Linked DNA regions of Oryzias latipes. The protein of the gene in region 2 purifies or fractionates together with the protein of the main gene of each other region. This does not show direct contact. Links are inferred from orthologs where the notes say so. Each region holds a gene or a part of one and is shown on either strand. Other genes may lie near its edges.

Region 1 (3,500 bases), on a different chromosome or scaffold from region 2:
CAACAGTGGAATCACTGCTTTACAATCTGGGAAAATTTGAATTTTTTGTGTGCAAATAATATACATACCAAGTTGTACAAAAAAAGTTGATCATAAAAGTCTGTGAAACAGGTTTTTGTGTCTGTTTAATTGAAAAAATGGGTACATTTTCTTTTGTCCACACAGAAGTATGGATTCAAGTCAGGACCAGCAATTCTTTTTAATAGATTTTTCAACTTTAATCTGATTACTTTCCTTAAAGTCATTTTTTTCCAGTGATGTGCACAGTTAAAACGTGCATCAGCAGATGGATCTACTTTATCAATAACCCCCCTCTGTTTCCTGTCTGTCTAAAGCTTGCCTTGTATGTACTGTCATTCCTGGAACCGAAAGACCTCCTTCAGGCCGCACAGACGTGTCGCTACTGGCGCATCCTAGCAGAAGACAACTTACTGTGGAGGGAAAAATGCAGAGAAGAGGGTAATTTGTTTTAAAGCCTTTTGTAACCATTTTAGCTCCAATTTTGAAATGCTTTGTTAAGCTTAAAGTGGAAAGAGAATCTTCTTTTATTGGAAAATAAACTGTGTCAATCGAATCAGTTTTGCTTTTCACAGGTATTGATGAGCCTCTGGCCCCAAAGAAAAGGGGAAATGTCAAGGCTGGCTTTACCCATAGCCCCTGGAAGAGTGCCTACATCAGGCAGCACAGAATAGACACTAACTGGAGGAGAGGAGACCTCAAATCCCCAAAGGTACTCTCATTTATTTCTTTATTTTGTCTGAAGGGATCTTCTCAACATTACCTTTTGTGCAAACTTGAAATTACCCACAGCTAAGTGGATCTTTGACACGAAGATCACAAAGTCACAAAATGCTTAATATAAGTATTTGAAATGGAAAGCTGATGGAAGAAAAGTAACTTTATACACAGGCAATGCTGATTTAAAAAGAATCCAGCGGGGCAAGGTTTTGTTTTTGTGTCTTCTTTTTTAAATCTTTACTTCACATGAGCACAAAAAGGAATATCCGTAAAGGCATGGCCAGCATATTTTTGGCAAAATGTTTCATTCATTAAAGCTGTTTTATTTTGCGTCTCATTTAAGTAATTTGTGGTAATAGTTGTCCTTTTTTGAGGAGCCCAAATGCCTTCAGAAGGGGTTCAGGTTGGAAGATGTGTTAGGTTTGTTCACAGAGCTGCATTTAAGTGTCTTTTAGAATCTACTCTGACAATGATCGTCTGTATCAACGTTCTTTTGTTATTGTTGGAAGATCACATTTTTATTTTTTTGTGTGTGTGGAGGAATCTAATTACCATCATTTTAGGATCATTTTTCACACTGACCACTAACCGTTTGACCCCATTTCCTTAACGGGGTCAAACTTTTCTGCACTGAAGACTTAAATCTTAAACCACGCTAGGTGGAAGAAATGGCCAAAAGGGTTTGTTTTTCCTGAATTAGCAGTTAGTTTGTTTTCATTTAGCAGTAGCACTTGCTACCAGTTAGTGGGGACGACACTATTGCTACACTTTCAACACCAGCAGACATTTACCTCATTTTCACTTTGATGTGAGACACTCATCGCTGTATCTGCTCATGTCATTTGCGTTGCCATGCCTCATCCACCTCTCCTAATATCCTATTTTTCTCACCTCTCTTTTTGTCTTCCTTATCTCAAGGTGCTGAAAGGACACGATGACCATGTGATTACCTGCCTTCAGTTCTGCGGCAACCGCATCGTCAGTGGCTCTGATGACAACACGCTGAAAGTCTGGTCCGCTGTTACAGGAAAGGTAAGCCTGACAACCTTTCTCTGATTTATTTATCTCACTATCTTTTCTTTCAGCATTTTGTCTGGTGCACTCACTTTCCTGCTCTGTGGCTTCTGTGATCTTTTCCATCATTTTTAACCAAGCAAAAAAAAAAAAAAAAAGGATGTGAACGAACTTTCCTTTTTTAATCAGTTTTCAAGTTTTAAATTACTTGAGATAACATTACATAAAAAATAAAATCCTTCTGCACAAATCATGTCTTAAAGATTAATGTAGTTTTTAAGGAAAAATAACCACTTTGATTAAGTCTTTTTTTTCCTTACTGAAAAATAACAGAGTGAAAAGCATCTAGTATCAAAACCTAAATGCAACAAATCACAAAATAAAATGGAAAAAACCAAGCATCCCCTCAGAGCTGCATTACAGTGGGAGCTCTCAGTTCAGCTTTGGTTTGAGGCCTTAAGGAGGGAAATAAGAGATCATCCGTTTAAAGGCGGAGGCATAACTTAAACTGTGTAGTGCTAATTTGTATGCCATAAAAATTGATCTATAACCAGGCATTCTTTAATAGAAAAATCTTAATTACTGTAATGATCTAATCACACTTCAGAATTCTACCCATCTGGACTTTTAAGGGGATAAATATGTGAAATTCCTAATAAGCTCATTGAATAATAATATGAACTAAACACCCTTCCTCCCAATTACCATGCTTTCAGACTGAAAGTTGCTCTGGAGTATGGGTAGCAGATGCCAAAAAACACATTAGCTTTAGCCACACTGGCTCCATATTGGTGGCAGAAGTCTGTGAGTCATATCACATGCAGATTTGGCCTATTTTAGCCCATAACCCACCTGTGCTCTGGCAGATGTCACAGACACACAGCATTTTGTATGTGGGTTTTACAATGCTTATCTCCCAGAATGGTTTGTTTGCATTGGGTATGAGGAAGGGATGAGCCCGCATCTGTTTGCATGGCTGCTTTATTCAGAGCACACGTCCTCTGTGCGGATTACACGCCTTTTGTTTCCTTAGCTCTCGACACTTGAGAGAAGCCTTACTGGAGAGGAACAGCCAATTAAGTCAAGTCAAGCATTAAGGCAAAGTATCTGTTGATCCCAAGAAAAGTAAAGTGAAAACTCAAGCTTTCACCTGCAAAAAGCAGTTAGGGTTTACATTTGGAGTATAGGAGAAGGACAGTCTGAGCTTTGTTCTTTTATTTAATTAAAGAAGTGAGAATTTGGTCTGAGGCTGTGGACACACCGTGTTTGCATGAACGTGCGTTTAGGCCATGGTGGTTCTTGTATTGCTGTTTACTAGCGCATGTCTGCCACCTACATTTGGAAGAAGCTTGGTGGGAAATGTCGGCGTGTAAATCGTGCAAATCTTGATCCAGGCTATTTTGAAATACAGCTCTATTCCAAAATATGAAAGACTTGGTCTTTTGGAATTCCATCCGAGCACAAACTGAAACTGATAATTTCTCCTCCATAATCGATTTTCAAACAGTTGGCACTTCAATTAATGAAAAGAGACGCCATCCATACGTCACCATCAAATCCAAGTCCCTGATTAGTCAAAGTTTGACCTGGTTTAGGCCTGCACAATATACCGCAAATTTATCGTTATCGCAATATCAAGCTGTGCAATATGCATATCGCAAAAGACAGCAAATTTGCAATAAATGGTTACCTTAGATGTGGCCAAACAATCTTATGGCAGCTTGAAGTGTTTAATGGATCGAAAGAAT
Region 2 (3,500 bases):
AGGTGAATTTCTAATGAACTACTGCCGCTCTGCAGAAACTATGTCCTTGAAAATGACACAAAATGAAAATGGCTGAAAAGATGATTGGAGCGGGTATTTAAGGATGACGGACAGTTTTATATTAGAGAAATTCTCAACTAAAAAAACTTTTCAGCAAATAAAACTGCATCTGATCTATTTTATATATTTTTTTGTTATTATGTCATGTTTTTTTTTGTAGGATCTCTGTGAGCGACATGAAAAGGGCGTCCTCCATGAGCATCAAAGGGCTCTTCAGAAGTACGGCGTGATGAAGAGGCAGATGATGAGCGCCACTGTGCAGTCCAAGGAGCACGCCACAGTGGAACAGCTGGAATCACGAATCGTTCAGGTGAAATTTTCTCCAACTCTACCTTGTATAACCAGAGCTGTACTCATTTATTCTTCTATAAAGTAAAATATCCTGCTTTTTTCTTTCCTTTACTAACTAAAGACTAATTTTATAATTCTTGGTTTGACAACTTAGGGAAAAAAGTTGTTGATTTATTTATATAGGGGGTAGAAGGTCATTTTTGTTTATAACAATGTTGCTTAGTGCAGAAGCTTGGACCAAAAAGCGTTTTTATTTGATTTTTTTTTTTCACTGGTTCTTTTGTGAGAAAGGCCAAATAAATGTCTTTGTGGTGGATTTGAAGCTTTTTTTTTTCTTCTAAGAACAAAAATCCCCCAAACATTAAAAATGTGAAAACTCCCAAAACATAAAATGTTCTTTTTAGTTCCTTATAAATACTTTAAAGCAATAAAAAGGAGGTTATTTTAAAGAAACCAAAGCAGCCTTTTTGTGACCGCGTTAAAGCAAAGTCGCATTAAGAAAGTAATTAAGTTGCTGTTTGCTCCTGTACCCTCTGTGGTTTTTATCTTGGGGCCGCAGTTCCTTTTTATTTATTTTTTCACCGCGGTTTGGATGTGTTTGCCACACCGTCACAATTTCTGCATAGTTCCCCCTAACTGAGTTTGTACTTTTCTGACCAAACCAGCTTTAGCCTGAGGGCAGAAAATCCTACTGGATTCAAAAAGTAATATTAGAGCTGTTAATGTAGAAAACGAAGACAATAAGTTTTTATTTATTTATTTTTATTTGTGGAATTTTGTAAAATATGTCATGATCTGTTTTTAGTATTTTCTCTTCATTGAAGAGCTAAGATTAGATTAACATGTATATGTGCAACACTAAAATTATTGAAAAAAAATGACAAAATTGATCATATCACCTTAAAAAACATGATGCAAAAAAAAAAAAAAAAACAGACTGCAATTACTCTAAAAGAGTTTTGAAGGTTTGGATTTGGAAAAGGAAATATTAATTATACAGAACAACTAAATAAAATAAAGGAGGATACTAAAATAAGATTAATAGCTATAAAGAAATAGCCAAGGTGCTGTTTATTGGCAAGAAAGTCATGTAAAGTTGATCATTTGTAAGTGAAACTAATAAATGTAATGTAATAAAATTTAGAAAAATTATTTCTTTTAGAAATATTAAGTTTTTTTGCTACGGGTAAAAAAAATAGATTTTGTGTGATTTGCTAAATGTCAATGAGGCTGTCTCCTAGAAAACCTGCACAGAATAATAAAATAAATTAAAAAAAGGAAACATTTTGCAGGTTTGCTGCTCTCATGTTTTTAGTTGAATTGCCCATAGAGTAGGGGTGGAGCTATAACTGCCCCCCCTGTAAAAAGCTTTGCCCCCCCCCTCAATTTCTGAGTCAATATTAATATTATTATTGAGATAGATTAAGAAACGACCAATAGAAGCTTCTTTAAGTATTACAAGAATAACAAAAGCAATACTTTTGAATGAAAGAATTACATTAACAAATATAAAACTGTTTGAAATACGTGTTTTTGATCCTTTCATTTCATTCTGCCCCCCATCTTGCCCCACATATAAAATGTTCTGGCTCCACCACTGGATGGAGGTGAAAGAAAATCTCAACTTTTATAGTTTTTTTTTTTACAACAGAATTGATTAACAGGATTTTTGTGTCTTCTTTTGATAACATCCTCTTATCAGTCCTGTGTTTCTAACAAGCAGGATTAGCAACGGATTTCCCTTCTATTAGCATTTTATTCCTGATAATTTCTGTCATTTAATTAGTGCCAACCTTTTTTTTTTTTTTTTTAATGTTCTGATAATAGCAAGAAAGTGCCATTCAAACCATGGAGCTGCGCAACTACTTCTCCCTGTTCTGCCTTCATCAAGAGACGCAGCTTATCTTCACTTGCCTTCCAATTACTTCCCACATTCTCGGGGCTTTTGTTAGCTCACAGGTCCAAGGACACAAAGAGGTAAGGAGGCAGTCTGGGAATTCTTTTTATCCAGTTACTCACCTATAGTTTTACCCAGCAGCACTGCATGCAGGGACAGTCAGATCATCCATAACCTGACTTTAAAAAATGTTTTTAAAAAAAATGAGGGTTTGTGCAAATAAAATATTTTTTTGTTGAATTTGTTAAAAATATATGCTGAAATTGAGAAAATAAGAAAAATAAATAGACAGAGTGGTTTTGAAAGTTGCTTTTTGAAATATTAAATTTGTGGACCAAGTTGCAATATTTCATTGTTAACGATCTAAAGGGGAAGTGTAAATAGACATTTCTTTTTTTTACAGATGGGAGAAGTCTGGAATGAACTCCAGCCCAAACTGGGGTCTCTCTTTGCCAGTAAAAATGGACTGAAATCTTCCATCTGAAACCTTCATCATGCTGTGATGACTAGAAACACTCCCACATACGTGTAACGCACTTCATCAATTCCACTTTTCACTGAAGATCATCATTGGAGTCCTTTGGGCACTAATTTCCCACATTTCCTGCAAGAGTCACAAGTATTTCATCATGCGCTCTGGAATGAGATCAACAATTCAGAGTTTGTGACCATCAGCAGGCCAACAGGGATCCCCAACGCGGCATTTATACAACATTTTTATGAAGTACTTGATTGTGAATCTGAGTTTGATACACTAAAAGGATTAAGAAGACGAACACTGCAAAAATTGAGTTATTCACCTGTTTTCTTTATGCTTGTTGACTAACTTCAGAGTAATATAAAGGATTTTTGCTTCTAAAGTTATGTAGATGTTTCTTTTTTTGTGTTAGCTATTTTTTAATCTCACTGTGGAATATGTGAACTGCATAAATCTGCAAATGTTTTTTTTTTTTTTTAACTAAAACTACATTTATTATTCCAGTCATTTATTTGTGAAGAACAAAAAAAATGTATTTAGGTGAGTGGCAGAGGACTCAAACCAATTCTTTATCTTCTATATTTTGGCATGTCATCATAGCCTCGGGAAGCTGGATGACTGTAAAAGAGGATTCCACAAAGTTATAGAGGACAAGAAATGGCAACCTACAAAAAAATCTGCTGCTCCAGAAGCTAAGGCATGTTTTATATGTGAACATGGCAGGGAAAGTATTATGATGTGTTTTTTTGTGTCTCCTGACATAATTTGTTAAAG

What was found. Proteins that work in one complex are often made in the same cells at the same time.
Region 1: the proteins of snx8 (region 2) and fbxw7 purify together in Homo sapiens (affinity purification with mass spectrometry; 3 studies listed by BioGRID and IntAct, counting the BioPlex papers as one, with this or other methods). This does not show direct contact. The link is inferred for Oryzias latipes from reciprocal best matches to the Homo sapiens genes SNX8 and FBXW7.

What each region holds. Positions count from the first base shown.
Region 1 is NC_019859.2:19,407,869-19,411,368, reverse strand, and holds part of fbxw7 (F-box/WD repeat-containing protein 7), read left to right. Parts: intron 1-335; coding exon 336-459; intron 460-593; coding exon 594-730; intron 731-1,656; coding exon 1,657-1,770; intron 1,771-3,500. UniProt on the Homo sapiens protein: Substrate recognition component of a SCF (SKP1-CUL1-F-box protein) E3 ubiquitin-protein ligase complex which mediates the ubiquitination and subsequent proteasomal degradation of target proteins.
Region 2 is NC_019866.2:7,037,224-7,040,723, forward strand, and holds the end of snx8 (sorting nexin-8), read left to right. Parts: intron 1-220; coding exon 221-370; intron 371-2,178; coding exon 2,179-2,328; intron 2,329-2,651; coding exon 2,652-2,732; 3' UTR 2,733-3,195; downstream 3,196-3,500. UniProt on the Homo sapiens protein: May be involved in several stages of intracellular trafficking. May play a role in intracellular protein transport from early endosomes to the trans-Golgi network.